Oreochromis niloticus: one gene and its partner. The protein of the gene in region 2 interacts with the protein of the main gene of each other region in a biochemical or structural test. Links are inferred from orthologs where the notes say so. Each region holds a gene or a part of one and is shown on either strand. Other genes may lie near its edges.

The links.
Region 1: the proteins of erbb2 (region 2) and blk form a complex in vitro, tested with the Homo sapiens proteins (2 studies listed by BioGRID and IntAct, with this or other methods). The link is inferred for Oreochromis niloticus from reciprocal best matches to the Homo sapiens genes ERBB2 and BLK.

What each region holds. Positions count from the first base shown.
Region 1 is NC_031980.2:8,609,230-8,619,458, reverse strand, and holds the start of blk (tyrosine-protein kinase Blk), read right to left. Parts: upstream 3,298-10,229; 5' UTR 3,235-3,297; intron 2,280-3,234; 5' UTR 2,193-2,279; intron 2,020-2,192; 5' UTR 2,019-2,019; coding exon 1,923-2,018; intron 1,799-1,922; coding exon 1,768-1,798; intron 1,402-1,767; coding exon 1,308-1,401; intron 1,211-1,307; coding exon 1,112-1,210; intron 984-1,111; coding exon 880-983; intron 766-879; coding exon 616-765; intron 110-615; coding exon 1-109. UniProt on the Homo sapiens protein: Non-receptor tyrosine kinase involved in B-lymphocyte development, differentiation and signaling. B-cell receptor (BCR) signaling requires a tight regulation of several protein tyrosine kinases and phosphatases, and associated coreceptors.
Region 2 is NC_031973.2:16,304,355-16,315,433, forward strand, and holds the start of erbb2 (receptor tyrosine-protein kinase erbB-2), read right to left. Parts: upstream 5,304-11,079; 5' UTR 4,849-5,303; coding exon 4,713-4,848; intron 4,707-4,712; exon of another isoform or gene 4,487-4,706; intron 4,332-4,486; exon of another isoform or gene 4,270-4,331; intron 3,198-4,269; exon of another isoform or gene 2,801-3,197; intron 1,973-2,800; exon of another isoform or gene 1,915-1,972; intron 1-1,914. UniProt on the Homo sapiens protein: Protein tyrosine kinase that is part of several cell surface receptor complexes, but that apparently needs a coreceptor for ligand binding. Essential component of a neuregulin-receptor complex, although neuregulins do not interact with it alone.

The sequences.
Region 1 (10,229 bases), on a different chromosome or scaffold from region 2:
ATTTTCACTGTCTCTCGAGGAATCTCCCATTCATCATGGGCCCATGGCTGCTGAGGGGCCATAGGCTTACAGGGAGCATACAGTCGCTGACATAACCCATCTGCCGTGTCTGCACCCAAATACGATACATTCAGATATAACAAACAATATTTTTTTCCATCTTTCTTTGCACGAGTGATAAATTTAGTTACAGAAACCATACATCTCATCTTTCATTAGATAATTCTAAAAGCATGTTTGTTCGTGCTCACATGCATTTCTTTTTCATAAGTTGATCTTTGAGACAACCTTTCTCAAGATCTGGCCTGCTTATCTTGTGGTTTAGTCGCAGGAGTGGAAAGACTATCACTCCTCTCACTCAGGAAATGCACAACACATCACAAGGGTCGAACTTCCCCCTTTAATTCAAAGTCACTGCAGATGTTTTATAATTCAAAGCAGCAAGCTTAACCTGAGTCCAAATCAATGCAAGATGCAGGATTTACAATTATAAATGCTGAATTGGAAACACAGAAACAGAAAATCCTGTGCATAGATATGGTTTCTTAAATTATACATCTCTGAAAATACAAACTTTTTGAGGGTGGAGATGTTGTATTTGTAGTTGTTACTTACGGGTATAGTATTGAACCAATTCCTGTAGGGTCGAGAACGTGTTGGAAGGGGAGATGTAGTAGCCACCTTTGTCCAGACAACGGATTTTGTAATGTTTTACTACATCTCCTCTTTCCCCTTCATAATCTCTGACTGACAGCGAGAATGACCCTGAGAGGGGAAAAAGGGACATTTGGGTTTATTGACCACACTGAAAATGAATACAGGTAGCTGCTAAAAATGTGATTTGTGGCATGATCACGGAAAGATACTGATGGTGGTCACCTTTACAGGTCTCACTCTCTCGAATTAGAAAGGCCCCTGGTTTATTTCCGGGTGCTAAAAGTAGCCTCTCGGTTTCTCTTCTGCCCAAATCCTTGAAAAACCATCTGCAAGAGAGAGCACCACAAAACCATAGAAGTCACTCTTCCTGAATATAATAATACAAAGCATTACAACAACATTAATCAATCAATAGATGCGTGCTACATTTCATTCCATAATATTTCAAGCTTACTTTTCCACTTCCAGTGTATCTGCTCTGGCTACATAATTCGATGGTATCAAGCCTTCTTGTCCAGTCGTCAGCAGTCGGGCCAGCCACCATTCTCCGGTTCTGTACATCAGACAAACACGTCGCATTCATTTTATTTCTCTGTGCGCTTTCTTTATTGTCACTTTCACAACTGTGGGAACCATAGAATGAGACTTACTCTTGCAATACTTTAAGTTTGTCTCCCTTTCTGAAAGGCAGATCACTGTCGTTGGTCGCTTTGAAGTCGTGTTGTGCAATAAATATAGTGTCATCTAAAGGGAAGAAGAGCACAGAGTTTCTTTAAAAGTGTATTTTTAATCTGCTTTTTACTCTTAGACGTTTTATTTTGACATGATCCTGTGTTCTAACATGCGCAATTTGTGGTGATATTGTTTTCCTTCTCCGAGCAACCGCTGTGTTATTTTACATCTGTGACATTAACATTACTTTCATGTATTTGCAATCTCATCTAATCCCCAGAAGAGAACAGAGGAAATTCAACCGAGATTTCGATCGCAAAACTGTAGCTCTTATTACTGCCACTAATGTCTCTTAACGCAGCAGCAGTTGGGTCCATGAATGCAGGCCTGTTACTTTCTACTATGATGTTTGATTTATGCAAGGAGGTTTGTGATTACCATTATTTGTATAGGCGTTTCCACTTCGTCCCTTGAAAGAATGGAGAGAAAAAAAGAAGACGTTGATTATGTCCAGTTTGTCAAGTAAACCTTTTGAGGTAATTAGAGTAAAATTTGTTTCACATCTGAGTAAATCTTTTTAGTGTTTTACTTACTATATGGTTTGATGACGGGGAGGCGTGTGATTTGTGTTTTCCTTTGTAGAATCCTTCTTCTTTTACTTGTTTCTCGCCACTGCAAGTGCAGCCCATCCTGCATGTTTCGTGGAAATCTCTTTTAGCTATGTTACATGATGCTAACATTTACTAAAATAACATATCTAATTACAGAATGCACTGTTTAGTGTGGTATCAGTAAACAATGATTCAACAAGTTTATGGAAAGACACTCACATAGCTACAATGTGCTCAATACTTTGCTTTTACCTGATCAAACAGATGAGCTTTCCTGCTGCTGTTTTTAGTCTCCACTCCTCCCACTGCAGGGCCTGCTCTTTGACTTCATGCCCGGTGCTGGAAAACGACATCTAATGACTCAAAATTGCTAAAAATGTATTTAGTGAGCATCTCTTTAGATGTATTGCTTGGTAACAGGTGACCCAAAAAAATAATAAAATTGAAACAAGAAAACAAAAAACAAAAACTGGCTCTCAAAAGAGGAAGTGAAAATGTGTTTACAGCTCTTTACCATTGCATTAGCATGTACAGTTTATGATGGGGCTTCATTGTCAAGTTTCAGTTAAAAATAGAGGAAAAGAAAACGGCTAAAAATAGCTAAAAACACACTGGTGTAGAAATGATACCAAACCAAGCGATGGTGTTAAAAAAGAACTGCTGTTTGTCTGAAGCAAGTTTTATGAGGTGTTAATGTTAAAACTTAAAAGTGTTTTTTAGATCACAAAGTCAAATATAGTTGATGTAATGTGTATTACAAAAGCTAAAGATAATGACTGCACATGCAAATATACAACACTGATAAAATAATGATGTAGCAGAGTAGTGTAGAGTGTTGTGTATGCTTTAGACTGTATGTGTAAGTACCGTATTATCAATATCGATGGTTTAATTACGTCTTAAAATGGAAAATTACCCCTAAAACAGCAAGAGCAGTGCTTTAATATTCAGTGGTGTGTAATAACAATATGTCATGAAATGCATGCCTGTAGGGAGGCTTTACACAAACCGCTGACTTATGGATTTCACGCGGAAAAAAGTGATAATTGAAATGAAAATTCATAATAATAATTAGCCTTGATACTTTTGCCAATTATTTATCGCACATATTTGATCATCCACGTTACGCGTTATGTTTTGTTTAATTTTTGATGTGTTTTACCAACATTGTACACCATTATTTAAATAAAATATTACTTACACTATTATGTTCACCATTACCTTACAATATCTAGAAATTCTCAATGCCTGTCACTGCTCTATAATGTAATATATTCATTCAGCAGATAAATACCTTTAGCTTGTCTTTGGCTCGTGTCTTCAGAAGTACTCCAGATGCAAAATGTCTTCAATTTCCTCATTGAAAACTGAGTGCTTGTCAGTGTGTCACTCTCACTCACTCATTTTGGTTTGGAAAGTTTCTCTCTCTCTTTTGCTCTGCTCTAATTTCTCTCTCTCTCTCTTGCTCTCGCTCTCTCTCTCTCTAACAGTGAAGACCAGGACCTCCCCTTTGGGGTTACATTCAGTTTACTGGAAACAGACAGCAGTTTGCTCTTTTGTCTGGTCTCTTACATTTCTCCCTTGATTCTCAGGCAGATGATCTACCTACAGAGTGCAAAAATAATCTTCTGATTAAATTTCACTTGCAGTAGTTACCCCGCCCCAGTCCTGCAATTAGTCAGTGAACACAACTGATAACTGTATGTCATCTTTAAGTATTAAAACTCACAAATGTATGGTCCTCAAAGTTATTGGTCAAGAAGGACTTTAGGTTAGCTATCAGTAGAGCTTGTTTTACTTCAGAATGTGTAGATGCGGTCAATGATTTGCAAAAATTGTGCCTGTGATCTTTTTTTAAAAAATGCAAATGACCTTTGGTATCAAATCGACAATGCAATGGAAAAAAAGAAGTGTCTGCACTGTGTTGTATTGTGTGTCTGGGTGATTGGTGTTAAATGTAGGTGTGGTGGAGTGTTGTCTGCTCAAGTGTATAAGATGCAAGATAAAGAAACAGGGCATGGTTTCCATGACACACATTTCAGTTCCTCTGCTGGCCTCTGCTACTCATATCTTTACCTTTCAGTGTCAAGAAACATGTTTACAGTAATACTGTAAAACAATACACAATTCCAGCCACAAGAGGGAGTGTTCAGCTACTAGTGGGATGTGCAACCACCCTGGTAATATACCCCTTTATAAATTTTATGCAAGTTTTAATGTCAATAACTGATTACTATTGTGTTAATTAATATTTTTATTGCAGTAACAATAGCAACAAATGAGGGCCTTGCAGCTCTTCTTTTGCCTATATTGCCTGATGACCACAGAAAACAGTAAAGTGTGAAGGTGTATATCCCAAAACATGCACTCAGTTTAAGTCTGTTTCCATGTAATAACAGAGCAAGATTTCACAATTCCCATTTACTGATACTTTTTCATTATTAAGGCTGTATGCAATAAGTTCTATTACACAGGAAACCCAAAAGTAGTTAAATATAGTCATATGAAAATGTTTTTATAGCACTCTGTGCAGTACTGTAAAAAACAAACAACACTCATACTGCTTCCATAGCAATAACGAAGGTAAAGGTAACCAAAGAGCTACATCTGAGACTCTAAAAGCCTCATTCAGTGCAGTATGTTTAGAAAACGACTGAATAAGTATGGCTGGTTTGAAAAGGTCACCAAGGGGAAACCCTCTTCTCTCTAAAATGAGCATTTTAGGCTTGAAAAGATGAATCTGAATAAACCTAGACTTCTTAAATACTGTCTTTTCAACCAACAAGACCAGAATGAACATGTTTGGCCATGATGCTTTCGCCAAACAAACCAAAACCAAGCACAGCATGTCATCACAAACGCCTCATACCAGTGTCTCGTATGGCGGTTGACGGGTTGATAATTTGGGCTTGTTTTGCAGCCACAGGGTACCTTGCAGGTATCGACTCCACCATGAACTCGGCGTTAAACCAAAGTTTTTTAGAGTCAAATGTGAGGTCATCCGTCCAACAGCTAAAGTTTGGCTGAAACTGGATCGTGTACAATAATCGGTGGACAATGCACAGCAGCAAACCTACAAGAGTATGTCTGAAAAAATCAAGATGTTTCAGTGACCCAGTCAAAGTCCAGATCTCAAATGCTGTTACAGGACCTTAAGAGAGCTGTGCATAAACAAATGCCTTAAAAAAATAGTGTTATAGAGTAGAGTGGACAGTGACAGACTGATGCAGTCATACAGAAAGTGGTTACTTCAGGTCACTGCTATAAGCTACTGAATCATTGGGCGTTTTTAGTTTTTCACACAAATATTGCAACGTATGAAATGAGTGTTGTGACAATGTTGTTTTTCACATGACTGTGCGTTGCTTATAATGACTTCTCAATGCAATACCACCAAATACTTAATAAAGATACACTTTAGGTTAGTGAGTCAAGCAAAAAGTTAAGACATCTTTCTGCTTGTATATAAAATGGTTACAGGGCAAGAAATGTGGCCATAATTTGATCTCATGTTAGTTAGCTTACTTTTAATGGTACTGATACTATTGTTGTTTATAGCACTATTCAAAATGAGAAATTGCTTCCCGATGTTCCCCAGTGTTGACACTAGAGGGTGTAACCAGACTTATTCTAATCCCAGACTGTCCTTACAGTAGGTCAGTTCAAAGTTGTGTAACCATTTCTGACTAATTCTTGGCATTTCTATGTATATATGACCCTTACAATGACATCACATATAGAAGCATAGTGTTGAACCGTTGTGGATTCCTCTGTGTTGTATGTGGTGCAGGTGGAGGTGTGCAGATGTGAAATCGAATGCAAATCGTGACTTATCTGGGGCAAAAATTTAGCAAGATGGTGTGCGGTCAGTACAACAATGCTTTGGTTTTTCACACCATACAAAACAGTTAACCAGGTCTTTCCTTTTCTCACCACACAATGCACTGCCAAGGGAATTCACCCCTCTTCTTCAGAGTGAGACAATAAACACAAAACAATATGTCCTTGAGTTATCTAGCAGTAATTATGACCCTTTCATGTCTCACGTGCATGCTAAATTGCTATTAAATATTGAGAATAAATCAAAGAACCGTATAAGGAAGATATCAGTCACAGTATACTGTAACCTATAAGTGCACCAAACAATAAATCTTACAACACCGGAAGTGTTTGTTTCCTATGGGGGGGTTTATACAACACACAACGTGGGGATATTACTCTCTGGGCAACACTTCACAGGTTTTTGTTTGGACCACCTGTGCTGTGTGTGGGGATTGTGCTATGCTGTAGTTCACTGAAGGAACAACCTTGCTTCACTGTACACACATGTACACACATTTACGCAAACACACACACACAGGCTGCAGGTGCATGGTGAGTGTTATTGAGTGCGTCCTGGTTACTAACTGCCGTTTCTCTTTATACTCCTTTCTTCTAGTTTTCCATCAGCCCTTGTTTTCTTCCCAGGGCTTGGCGGATGCTCGTGTACAGCTCTGTTGGGGTCCCCAGACATTGCATCCTGCCTGCAGAAGGGTCATAAGTGGCCCCACAGGATAACCTGAACAACAGTGGGAAAGAAAGGGAGCGTGGGTCTCCTTTAGTAAATGCACTTCTGACCACCTCTGTGCCAAAAGTATACATGCTGCCAATAGATACTTTCAACTCCCATTATTAATGTGAGTGTGCGCTGCGTGTGACTGCAAATGTGCGTGTTTTATAATTGTGTGTTCGTGGGGGTGGGGGTGGGGGTGTTTTCAGAAAAGCTATACAATGATTTCTGTGCGGCAAGCTAGTGCTGTTTCAAATCTTACCATAGGTTTTATTTATTTAGATACACAGACAGACACACATCCACTCACACGCATACTTTTTGTCCCTTTTTGATTGTGGTCCCCACAAGATGAGTAATACCTAGACCACGCACATTCACACGCACGCACTTTCCTCAATTTTGATCCCCCTCCGCATCAGAAGTGGCCCCTCTTTGACTTCCTCTCAGTGTGGGAACCTTTTTTATCCTCTGTCACACATCGACTGAGAGAAGGTCTTGCTGCTACATTTGCCATAAAAAGACAAAGTGATTGTCAATAAACAAGGAACAATTGAGCTCCCCCGATGTATTGAACAGGCCCCTTTGCTGTACCTCCAGGATGTTCATGAGTTTTAGTTGAGCTTCAGTTTTCCTTGTACTATTTTCCCATATTATGCTCTTTGTACTGCAGACATAACACACCACTGGTTCAGCTATATTGTAGCTTAATTTGTGGAATTCACTGTAATAGCACTTTTAATCAGACAGTATACTGTATATAAGATAGCAGCCATAATTTGCTGAATTCAGCATGTTTATCTAGCAGTTATTTCTTCCTTTGCATATTTAAGGTAAAATAATGCATGACTATAAGATTCTAAGTTACCAGTAGCTGCACTGCCCTTAATTAAAGGCTGCTTATGAAACTTTTAAAAAACACGTGCAGTAGGATTTTGCATTAATGTACTTGGGAGCAAATCTGTGCAGCTGTTCCAGGGGCAAGTTGCTCTGAGGTAAACATGGCTGCGGGAAAACCCCTTATTATTGTGCTCCGGATGACGTTCCTCACTCTTCCAGTGTTTACTGTGGAAATTATCCTGTGCCAGCGGGCAGGTGCTTCCTCAAAAGGTCTTTGCTTTTCCAGAAGATTTGAGGATTCAATTCATCTCAGCAAATCAAACACTACTGCAACATTCTTACCAGACAATAACACATATTTTTATTCGATAGGATTAGAATTAAAAACTGATGACATTTTGAATTTAAAACAGCTTCTGCTTTTAGTGAAACTCATTTTGGAAAACAGTTGATCACATTTCCTCCTCTGTAAACAAACTGGCACTGTCCTTATCGCAGACAGCTTCCATCTGTAATCTGGAGCCTGTTTAAACACATAACTGTTGTTTAAATGAGCTAGTTTATACAAGAATATACTTTGCTACATATTTTAAGAAAGAGTTATTTAGTGGGCACATTGACATATAATGTAAAAGATCTCTATTCTCATCCCTGTTTACTAAATGGACAAAAAATACTTGTTGGTTGCTGGACTAGACTAATGTTTTTGATTGGTATGATAACATCGCACGCTTCTTACTGTTGGCGTTATTTCTGGTGTATGGTACAGCCAAAAGGCCCAAACAACACAAATGAAGTGTTGAAACACAGTAAGTCAAATAAGCTCAGGTGAAGCCTAGCAAATAGCTAGCTACTTAGTCAGCAGAAGTGGCCACACCTCTAATAACAGAAACTTTAAGCCTTAACAGAACTTGAATGGGTGACGTATAATAAAAATCCCCATGTCCTCTGATACACACCCACGTTGGAACAGTGTCTCATACCAGGTTAAACGTTTTTTATTTCATCTATAATGCTACAGTCATGCTAGGGAAAATGACAGCTAGAGACCACAGCACAACAAAAACATTTTTCTCAATGTGTTCAGTGAGCGTGCAATCTTTGAAAAGGTTTGAAGGGGACCTTGCAGACAGTTGTCGCCTTCAAAGCATCTCTGGTGCGTCAAGATTGCGAAAAAGTCAGTAAGACTGAAGCTGTCTGCCATCAGCAGTATTGCTGGGAGAGTGAATTTGTTACATTACTCGTTACATTACTTTCATGTTATTCTGTAACATGACCTGAAATGAACTGTCACATAATTATCAATTAACAATTTATGGCTTAAGCTAACATGCCGACACAAATCCCTATCCTAATGAGGGCACACGCACAATCTTTCTTTAAGGGTTTTTAAGTTTTAACATAATGTCGACAACACAAAGCAAAGCTGAAAACATTTAACATTTAAAATTGTGTTTTGAATATAAAAAGTTACAAATATTTTAGTAAATGTTGTAAAAAGTGACTTGAAAAAACATGTTCTTGTAAGGTTTTGAGCTAAATGTGGAAAAATGTTGCCGTTAATTTCAGCTTGTTTCAGTTTACAAACAGCGCCTCATACAACAGTGGCCATCGGTGTGAAATCAGTCTGCCATCAGATTGCATTTGAATTGTCAAGTTGGCAATTACATGAAAGCTGTTTGTGATACTACAGCGATTAACTGTGATAAAACACTGACCTGTCAGTTTGCGATTGACTGTAGTTTCCCAGACGTTGAAGGTGTTACCTTCTTAGCTGGTCCAGATTACCTTCATTTTTCAGCCCCAGAGGTTGAGACTTTGTTTTAGCTTGTTTAATTTTAGCTTAGTTTTGCATGATGCATCCACAGACCAACTTTACCATGCCACTGGAGTTTTTAAAACAGGGGGAGTTTTCCTGAGAAACATATCTTAAATAGATATTTAACTCCCTAGCTGCTAGCTATTTAATAAATATTTGGCACACTGATAAACCACCAGGTAAGCAGTATCCTTTATTAATCATTAATTAATCAATCAATAAATGAAATCCTTCTTTTAGCTTCAGTGACACAGTCAAATTTGCTAGACTAACTAAATGACTCAGCAGTTTCCTGGATTGGCAGAAGCTGTGCCAGCTTGTCAGCGACATGCTACACACTTGTCTGCACACTTGCCTGTCTCACTAAGGATGTGGTAAGACATGCATTTTCATAACAGTCCTACACAGTATTTATGGCAACAGGGTGGGATTAAATAAGTGTTTACTTCTTCTCACTCCCTTTCAACATGTAAATTAATCAGAATGGGGGTTTTTTGTATGTATTTTGTATAGTATTTTTTCTCTCTCTCTCTCTTATTTTCTTTTCTAAATGTACCTGTATATTGTTCACATGTTGAAATAAATTACCAACCAACCAACCAACAGTAGCCAAACTACTGGTGATGGTCGATATTCATATTCAAGACCAGATTGTGAAAACACAGAAGAATATTAAAAAAAAGTTGTTAAAATTTTGTATGATTGTTATAGCAGCTAGCTTGCTGTTTTATCTAAGAGTGTAAGCTAGTCATGGAGGGACTTTTATACAACTGTTGCACCCATACACCCATAAAATGAAGTTCCATTTTCAATTTTTGCATACTGAGTTTCCCAAAGGGTCACCACAGCTGATTGATATGCATGACATGGCAAAGATATAACACTGAATGTCCTTACTGATGCAGTCGTCCCATTTATTTGGGCTTCCAACCAGCACTAGTAGTAGTTAACTTGAGTGGGGTAGTATCTGAGATCTTTCGCATGTAAGATGAATGTGTTAACCACTACACCACAGAAGCCCTCGTGTTTGTGCAAAGATAGAGAAAAAAGCAAACAAACTGCACTCCACATAACTGCACTT
Region 2 (11,079 bases):
TGCCCGATGTCCTTCCTGACACATCCCCAAAGGGATCTGTGTCTCCTCCCGGGATCAAACTGGGATCTTTTGTTCATTAGTCAGATAAATCACTTCACTATGTAACCCCGTAAAAACCAGCATTTTAAAAAATACTTAAATTACTTTTAAAACATTTAGATATTCAGAAGTGTCTAATTCTTAGTATGTTAATAACTCTTATTGGGTCACTCCATAGATGAAGTTCCCATGTCACTCCCTTAGAGGAGAATTTGAAAGAGTTGCAAATAAACACTTAGAAAAAAAAAACAATGATTTCGATCCAGAATGATTCACAGCCAGAGGATGAACCCAATATCAAAATTTAGGTACTTTAATTCGCTTTGATCGGCCACCCATTACCAAGAAATGCAATTTGTCTCTAGATTGATGCACTTGGAGTGGATCTAAAATGAACTTGGCTGCAGTTTTTAAACAGAGCTTAAATGAATGCGTCTACTTGCTGAAGTCATGAGGCTTTGAAAATACAGGCAAACTTCAACCCACCCTTATGTACTTCAAGGGCTTGTAACTCAGGTTTCATAGCTTGAAGATAACATTGTGCATAGGTTCATTAATCATCCTAAAGTTACTTCACAAAAACATTCAGCTGGTCCCGAGAGTCTCGTGTGGAAGTGACATTTAAAGCACACACGTGCTGCAAACGGTCAATATTTAGCATACGGTGCACCTCTGTGGAAGCATTTGAATTAGTCTTTCCTCCGGATGCACATTCGGGTTTTGCCTTTGATCTGTCACCCGCCTGCACACACCACTCCAAAAAATAATTACTTCTCCATTAGTGCTGGGCGATATGGAAAAAATATTTATCACGATATGAATTATTTTATAATCACGATAACGATATATATCACGATATACCACCTGACCTGTGGTCATCTGGAAAGTATGCAGTCTGTAAACAGCGAGTGGAGAGGGTGCAGTCTTTGTTTTGAGTTACCGTAAAGCATGTCACAAATCCGGGTGCACGTAAAGCAGCACCATGTCGCAAAACCACAAGACGGAGTTTCTTTGTGAAAAATATCTTTTTTTTATACTTTATGTACTCTTGCATAAAGTTAAGAGTATGTATAGTGAGAAGACAACACTAATATATTTGCCACAGGCTATTTAACTCTTTAAGACCTACCATGAGACCAAGTCCACCAGAGCTTATCTTTACATTTTACATGCTGTAGTGCCATTTGTGGGAGCATTTCAAGTTGCTATACATCAATACAACCGTTATAGCCCAAATTTTAATGATATGTATGCATTAAGTCCATAGTAACTACATAAATTGCAAAAAAGTGCAATAAACTACAAAAAAATTGAAAATCGTTTTTTTGTTTTTGTTTTGTTTTTTACATGTATTTCTACTTAGAGAAATTTAAGAGGCTTATCCCTCAAAACTGTAAATACAAGAAAGTTGCACAAAATAGTTTCCAACCACGAGAAATTTATTTTGAGTGTCTTCATAGTTTTATTTTTGAGATACACTAATTTTTATATACTACAGGAAAAATGAAAATAAATATTATAATGCAAATTTGCAAAAAAACAGCATGTGCATCAAAATAAACTATTTCCAACAGTGTAATTTGACTTCTAAGCATCCCGGAAACGATACAGAAAAGCATAAAGTCAAACATGATTTTTAAAAACACCAACATAGGCTATAAAAAGTAAAAAACTACATTTTCCGCGAAAATGACGTCACTTCCGGTTTCGGAAAGGTAATGGCGGACATACGATGTTTGGGGTTACTTATATTCCAACATAGGAAGTGTTATGAACAGCTGATCGGATCGCAAAGCCTGTTTCTGGAATATTGTTTTTGTTGCTGCAAGTCTGGAATATTATGTTTTTGTTGCTGGAAGTGCTTTTTATGCAATTTTTGCAAAGCTATATGTGGAAGGAAACCGTGACCTAGAGCAAGCTAATGGAATAACATGTAAGTACAACTCCTACGGTTTCATATGCCAAAAAAATTATTGCGCTACCTTACGTGGTTCCAGTTCTACAGGGATTTAAAAATAGTTAGGCAAAACGGAGTGTGCCTGCTCCGACCAGTTGTAAAGGGTTAATTAATGATATATTTTATGTAATAATTTATAAAATTAGGGTTAGAAACAATAGAAACGATAGAAGACAAATGGCACGATAGACACTTTTCTATCGTCCACACGATATATATTGTCATATCACCCAGCACTATTCTCCATTATGGATGAATATGCTAGCTTCATATTTAGCAATTTTGTGCTAGTTTTCATTTGAATGATCTCTCTCATCAACTCCTTATTTTATGAGGGACAGAAATTATATTTAATTAATTAAATAACCCTGGAAAATATGTTATGGTTTTTGTTTATATTGTACTGAAAATACAACACGATTCTTTGTTTCTAAGTTTGGAATCGAGGGTTTGAAACAGCATTTTTACCCGTAGCTCCTTACTTGCAACGTCGTGCAGACATGGGATACGTTACATGTTTTACCTGGAGGGAGTTTTTACAAACACCACATCAAACAAAAGGTTGTTTAATAAGAAGAATTTTTAATATATTTATAATAGTTATCAGACTGAATGAATGGGCAGTAAAAAGAGCAAACTCCTTTCTTTTAAATCATTTATTTCCAAATGAATGGCCTTGTTGGAAGGGCTTTTTGGCCCTTATGATGCATAATAATTTCACCGCGCTCATGAGATGCTACTGCATTTTAGTTATGGATGCTTTGAAAGTTTACACTACATTAAAAATAACTGCAACCTCTTTAGTTTTATAGAGAGCTGGCCAGCACCCTACGCCGAGCCTGATTTGGCCTGTGAGCCGCAAGTTGAGTATCACTGTTACAGACCTATTATGAATTACAGGGAAGTTAATAAATAGTGAAAATAACAGGGTTTCTTTTAATTATTTCCCCATGATTTCATTCTGCTAACACAAACAGGTAGCTGAGGCAATCGTTTAAATACTGAGAGTTTAGAAGATGTCAGCAGTATTTCTGAGTGTCACACTGATGACACTTTATTTGTCTAACACTTTATTTCCTCCGAGGATTTTCCCACTATACTCTTAAAGCCGGGTGAAGAGAAGACATACGGAAGAAGAGGCTGAAAGTCTCCTCGGAGGACAGCAGCGATGCCTCTCTGGTGGTCCCGCTCTCATCTCCGGGTGAGTTAGATCAGTAACATGCAGTCTAGACTGGTGAGTCACAGCAGGCTGAGTTAGCCTATCACTGAGGCCACTTCAGTAAGACTTAATCAGTGCACAGTGAGCTTCACTAGAGTGTGACGAGGGCACGAACTCTATGGATACAAAGGCCACTGAACACAGACACACACACGGGGACGGGGAGGTGAAAGAGTGTGTGTGTGATATAACACTTTAATAATACTTCATAACTGAAAGTAAGACTGCTGAGATTCACTCTGGAGCCAGTCGGAGCGCTCGTCCTGAACTGATGCTTCACAGATTGAGTAAAGTGCACCAACCAGTTCCCACCAACAATGCAGTCATAGTTGAAAATCACTTCACCTGTGACTATAGGCTTTGTTTGTGTGTGTGTGTGTGTGTGTGTGAGAGAGAGAGAGAGGGAGAGAGCAGCTAATAAAACAGACAGTTGTTTGTACTTACATTAGTCATTTTAGTTGTGAGGGGGACTTGAATGAAAAACCCCAAAGGGGGCTCTTTCTTTATTTTGTGCACATCAATGAAAGCCAACAGCTGTATGTCAATAAAGTGAGCACTGTAGAATAAATTGTTATTGAGTTCAGATTCATTTTTCTATTAGCATGTGCCAATAAAACTGCTTTTAAAAGCAGCTGGCCGGGGATTATTGATCTCCCCAAATACACCTAAAATAGATCTATACAGGTCCATATGCACCCATTAATCTGCACAACCAATCATTTTCTCAGTTAACAAATTAAATATCTCAAGTCCAAGTACTGACTGACCACCAGATCAAGCATTAAATTATATTATTTATTATTATAAATTATTATTATCCCCCCAAAACCTATAATAAAATGAAAAACAAGCAAAAATATGATTTGCAGCTCTTTTGCACCTTCCAGTTAGCTCTTGTTTTACTGGCACGTACTCAAGCTCCAAGTGTGACAAGTGGCCCCTCTATCGCACAATGTCCCCCTTTTAGAGCCAGGAGTGAATAATTGACATCGTCATGATCCTTGGCCCACAATGCACTGCCTGTTTAGTGTCTTGTTTTTGTTTGTGTTTACAGCAAAGCCACGAACCGTCCGCCTGCAGTGCACAAGTCAGTTGTGTCGCAAAGCTGCAAAGCAGGTTCTCATATTTCTTACCTGAGTCTCTGCTCTGTGTTTATTTGAGCAAGTCAAAGTGTTGCAAGATTGGAGATTTGTGTTTATTTATTTTTTAAATCTTTTTAAAAATTATTTTGGTCCAAACTGTAAATCTAAAGCGAGGCTGTTTTGTGACAGGTGTGATTTTTCCTCATAATCAGCCCTTCATAAATCCCAGGAGGGCTGAGAGGACCCGGCTGAGGAGTCACGGAGGAATGTAGTCCTCCGGACCAGAAAAAAACCTCCAGCATTTCCTGAAATTACAGCCAGCACACTCCTGTGCCATCTCCCCGACGCTCCGTGGTTCTATTTTGCCGACGGCGGAGGTATTAGAGACAGGGGAAAAGCGCTGAAAGTTACCCACCTTCTCTGCCTGAAGCGCCCGTCACTCCGAGCAGCACGGCCCCGACAAACAGCAAACTTCTCGCCGCCTCCATCTGCGCAGACCCGGCGCTTCTAGTCCATCTGGGGGGAACAGAGATGAAGTTTTTGCATCTCATTTAGAGCTAACTGTCGTTTCTGGCACCGTGTGGAGTTGTTGTTCGTGTCCGAATCTCAGTTACTTCCTCCCATGAATTCCCTGCCTGTTGGTAGTAAGCGCGTAACAGGAGCGGAGGCGCGCTCCCGTGGCGTGAAGGCCTGAACGGGGAGTGGCAGGTTCAGTCAACCCGCCCTCACTCCGGTCTGACTTACTTAACCCTATAACACGTTTCATTCTAATTATGTCTAAAAATTACCTTCAAACTTTAATTGCGCTTATTTCTCCTCAGAGGGCTCAAGTGGATCAAAGTGTTAAATATGGAGAACAATTAAAGCATTTACCCTGTTCATGCATAATCTGTGAATATGCTACCATCTTTTTAAAAATTTCAGTATGCCTTCTATCGCTTGGAAGTAAAGGGGAAAAGTCAAATTGGCTATATGCAGGGGCGTTTCCGGGATTTTTTACAGTAGGGTGCCACAGAGGGGTGGGGTGGGGGTCAGCATACAGGGTGTATCCAAAAAAGAACAAAAAAAATCATCTGATTTCAAAGTGCTTTAATTCCACAGCCCTTCACTGGAAACGGTCGAAAAAGCAGATTTGTGAGTTTTGCACGGTTGTCTGTGGGTAGCAAAACAACAGCAGTGACTCCAGACATGCCCGCAAAAGTATGGGACGAGTTTGCCTTTCGTATGGACATGTGCCGTGCATCCAGAAGAGGACACACTAAACACTTGTGAACAAGTTGTAAGTTTTGTTATTTTAAACTTTATTTTCAGCAATGTATTTAAAAAAAAATTACCACAAACTTCTGTGTCCATTGCTTTAAAAAAATACCTAACCTTTTGCAATCTGATGATTTCTTTAGATACACCCTGTGTTTATGAGAAGCAAAATCTGGGCTCTCAAAAAGTATTCTTGACCCTCAAATATGAAGGGTTAAGTTTGAATAAAATGCACTTGAAATGTGTAAACTCAAAGGTTTATTTATTCAAATAATTAACCATTAAGGGAAATATGCTTGGTGTAAGCTGACCACATAACAATCAAATACATTTCATTCACCAGATTGCATTAAATGTTTCACACTGTACATTTACATGTAATCAAATTACTTAAAGTTAGAATTTTGGGGATAAATATTTTTTGTATAGAGCATTGACTTTGAAAAGCCTGGCTGTGATTTTCAGTCCCTGACCCATACTATGACTGTATAACATGAAAAGTGGTGCTTTACAAGAGTTTAAACATAATTTTGTGTTGGTCGATTATTTTGGAAAGTTAAAAAAAATAATTTGATTATGTAAAAGTAGTAATAATTGTTAAGTAACTTAGTAACGCAACGGCTGTATAACCATCACACATTTAAAGCACCTCCAGTAAACATGCAGATTATGTAGAAGGGTGTTTTCATAATTACTTACTCATTGATGTAAATAACACTGTTGCACCTCAGGATGATTTTAATTACTTATATATTTCTGGGCAGCTTGTTATGATAAGCAGGTTCTGGATGGATGCAGGACTCTGAGGCAGGCAGATGTAAAACAGAAAATTACCTCTATTAAAGGTGAAGAAAAGTCCAAAACACATTCAAGAAGTCCACAAGGAGAATTTAAATAACAGAGGTCTAACAGGAGAAACAAAATCCGACTGGAAATAGGCTGGAAACACAAGAGGATAACAAACAGACAATTTAACAATGAACAAAGGAAACACAGGACTATAAAAACTCACACGCTGGGTGCTAATCAAGGGAAGTGAACACTACTGGGAGAAATCTAGGCACAAGTAAACAGAATCTGGAGAATGAAACTAAGGAAATAACAATTACAGATTAGACACACATTTACACAGTAAATTAACACGAATGAACACCGGTGAAAATAAACTAAGGCACAAGGGATGAGATATAAAAAATAAATAAATAAAAGAGACTAGATCTCAAAGAAACAATGACTAACACCAGACTATACTATAATTACAAGAAAAATAAAGAAACCCCTGAACTGAAAACATAAACTTTAACTTAAAAACTTAAAATGCTGGGTCCAAAACCCAGGACCACGGCAGATCTATAATAATGCAAATTATCTACATGACAGTAAGTAACTTAAGATTTAAAATGAACAGTATTGTGTATAAAGTATAATATTTAACATTTACATATAAGTGAATTAGACCTTTATCTGAGTAAAGTACTAAGTTACACAGTTAAAAAAAAAAACATTGTCCTGATTAATTTTCTGTATGGCAAATGGTAAAATTCAGTGTATATAATGTAACTCATTTTAAAATGGTACATTGTACTGTATACATTCCTACAGGTCCATGCTCTCATTCACTGCTGGGCATTATACAGTTGTCATGGAGCCATAGACACATGTGGTTTTTGTGTCTTCTTATTGGCTGTTCTGACACTTACTTTTTTAAATGTACTTTAATCTTTTCTCTTGTACGTCCCCTTTTTCTATTTTTCTGTGATGAGCACTTAAATAAAGTCACTTTCTTACACCACATCCATGATGTAATACTGATCCCCAAACATCCATGAAACCTTACAATGTGAATACATTTCAGATTAAAAGGGGACATCAGGATATTTGAAAAATGTTCAAGTTAAATTGCCTGTTTTTTCAAAAATTACATAAAATGTGCATTATCATATAAGAAAAGACCTACATCAAGAGTTTATTTAGAACAATTACATAACAATTATCCCACTAACACAATATTTCACCAATTTGACGTGTAGTATTAAATGTCTGTTTAAAAGAATGACACATTTTACAATAACTGTGTCAAAACGCGTAATTAACAAATTCAAACATGTTTAATTAGAGTTTCATTTTGTTTTGTAGAAGTTGTAAAACTCCCTGTTTGAATTATTAAATGTGAAAACTGGTTACATGAAAAAAATTATCTGAAATGTATCGAGGCAACGATTACACTCTTAGCTGCATTATTTCATTATGAATCACACTGACTGATATCGATGTGTTTATTTTTGCAAACTGGCAAATTTTTAGATGTAAGTCTTGCTTTGTATATCAGTATGTTTGACTATTAAAACTTTATTAATATTTAAGGAATGAATCAAATCAACATTTTAGATCAGGGGACTGTTGAATTTATAAAAAAAAAAAAGTGAATTCTTTGCGTGATACAAGATTGGAGTGTCTTCATATTTCTCCCGCTTTTCTCATGCTCTTCATTCACGGTCACAAATCAGGAGTCGAAGGAGGAAGAATAAACTCTATTCATCCCAATCTATCGTCTCTCCCCACCCACAGAAGCCCGGGTCAGAGTCCAGCCTCCTGCACAGAGCTATCAGAAAACAACAATAAGCTACACACTGAGCCACACAGACCACAAGTTGCGGACCGTTCGCGAAGCTGAGTGGTGCTAGTGAGGCTGAAATATTTAGTTCCCACAGAAAAAAAAGTCATCTGCTCCTGAGGGATGCAGTCAGTTTAGTATTCTGGTTGGAAGATTTTCCCAGCAGTGAACTTTAAGTCTTAAACTTTAAGTGTTTGTTGGCTCTGTATGCAACTCCTCGTTTTAGCAAGCTGTGCTACAATAAAACCTGATCCAGTAGTCAGCAATTTTCATCACACTTGATGGTGGAAATTGCTTCAGAAAAAATGGCTGTAATTCTCAGGAACACATAAAACGTGTGTAAAAAAAAAAAAAAAAAAGGTCTGTGTGGGTTAAAAGGTGAGGAGGCCAGGAAGTGGGTGAGAGATAATGTGTTCAAGTGAGAGAGTCCAAGGACAACTGCAGTGAAGCACAGTGAAAATATACAGAAAAGAAGTCATTACCAAAGAACATCATAAATTCACTCATAGTTCAGTTCCCCTGACTGGCCAAGTTTTTAGATTTGGCATGAGAGAAGAAATAAGAAATACAGTGCGGGACTCTTCAAGGACAAGAAAACCATATTGTTTCCCACTGCTGCTCATAAATCCAAATACAAGTCTAAAGGAATTTGTCTTGATTATATCGGAGACACAATGAAGGTATCTGTGCATATATCACTGGCACAAATAGTACAAGGTCAGCAAGCCCTTTAGACTGCAGTGTAACAGGGGAGGGACAAACATGTCACTTCTCTACTCACTTGTCCTGCTCTGTTGATACCTCTAGCTGTGAACATTTCATGCATTTTAACACAGGTTTAGTGTAGCAACACTCCTTCAAATCATCCACCTAAATGCAAGAAAAATTAAGGATTACTTAAACTTTTATAAGTATACGTGGGAGGAAATGGAAATACATCAGTGCTTTGTAAGAGACACTCACAGGCCTGTGAAGTGGATAAACAACTCAGTGCATTTAGGCATGTAGACATGGTCAAAACAACCTGAAAACTGAACATGAGAATGGGGAAGAAAGATGATTTCGGTGAGTTTCAACATGGCATGGTCTGAATATGTCAGAAACTACTGATCTGCTGGGAGTTTCCCAAACAACGATCTGTAGAATGGTTTAAAAACGAGAACATAACCAGTGAGCTGCAGTTCATATCAGAGGTCAGAGGGGAACAACCAGACTCCCTTGAGCTGATAGGAAGGCAACAGTAACTAAAATAACCTCTGTTTACAGGATCTCTGGAAGCACATTGTCTACAGCAGCAGAAGACCACACCGGGTGCCATTCCTGTCAGCTAAGAACAGGAAGTCAAGCAAACCAAACCTGAACAACAGAGGCTTGAAAAAGAGCTGCTGGATCTGATGAGTCTACATTTCTACTGTGACAATCAGATGGTAGGGTCAGAATGTGGTGCAAACAACATGAAACCATGAATTCACCATGTCATGTATCAACAGTTCAGGCTGCTGTTGGTGTTAGAGATATATTTGGGCTCCTCCTGACTAATTCAGCTTACCTGCGTGTTGTTTCTAACCATATCCATCCCTTTATGACCACAGTGTGTGATCTTCTGGTGGCTGCTTCCAGCAGGATAACATGCCTAAGGTGTCAAAGTTCAGTCATCTCAAACTGGTCTCTGGAACATCACAATGAGTTCACTGTTCTCAAATGGCCTCTACAATCACCAGATTCCAATCCAATAGACGTTTTGGATGTGGATGAATGTGAGAGGCTCATCATTGATGTGGCAAATCTGCAGCAACTGTGCGATGCTGTCATGTCAATATGAACCAAAATCTCTAAAGAATGTTTCAAGCACCTTTTTCAGTCGATGCCATGAAGAATTAAGGGAAAAGAGTGTATACTAGGAATGTGTGTCTGACAGCTGGATTTGCCACCATTTAAAAAAATTATTATTCCAAATGTAACTTACAAAATCAAGCTCTTACTGTAAAAAAATGACTGTGCTGTATTAAAAATCTTTAGGTTTGTTTGCCATTAAAACTGCTACTTTAGAGTTCCCATAAACATCTTTTTACTGTAAAATATAACATCATATGCTTTCCAGAGACTTTACATCACATCTTTTCTGAACTATAAAAGGATATCAGCTTTGTTGTAATTTCCCCTCTGTCCTTGCACTTCACAGGCACTGAAACACTGCTCTATTCAACACTAACATTAAAAAAAAAACAAAACCCTGAAGGCGAGTGCAGAGCAGAGGTTATTTATCGGTACAAAGACTTAGGTCAGGTTGTGGGCCAGTGCTAGCATAACCACACCACAGTTCACGGGAATACATCCACTAAAAGTCTAAATACTATCGTAACACTTCATGATTTTAACCAACGAGACTTTGTGCCCAGCAAGGAATCAAATACTATATATAATTAACATTTCCAGTAGTTTTTAGTTATTTTTCCTGCCCTCATGGACATAAACATTTGCAGCATTCAGCTGTATTCACTAAGGACAAAGCTTGTAACGTGATCCCCCAGAGTGCGTTTACCTGATAGCACTTGTAGTACTTTGAATGTTTCTGCTTGTGCATTTTTACCATTCATGCATCCACTTGAGAAACGTTTACACCAGTACAACGCAGAGAAATCCCAGTGGAAGGGTTAAAAATGGTGTCTTTACAGTCCTGTGCAACTGAAACGTTTTCAGTCTACAGATGGAGTGATGGTTTCTGTAAGACAGCTATGAAGTGGCAGCTCTCGGACAACAGCTGCTGAATGGCGTTTGCCACATCGCAGAGCAGCGAGACACGAGAGAGCAAATACCATTGGCATATTTTACTGCCTTCCTCAATGCACACATACCACATACTCTATTGTTTGCTAGCATTTTGAGTACTTTTTTTTTTTTCATATTTAAT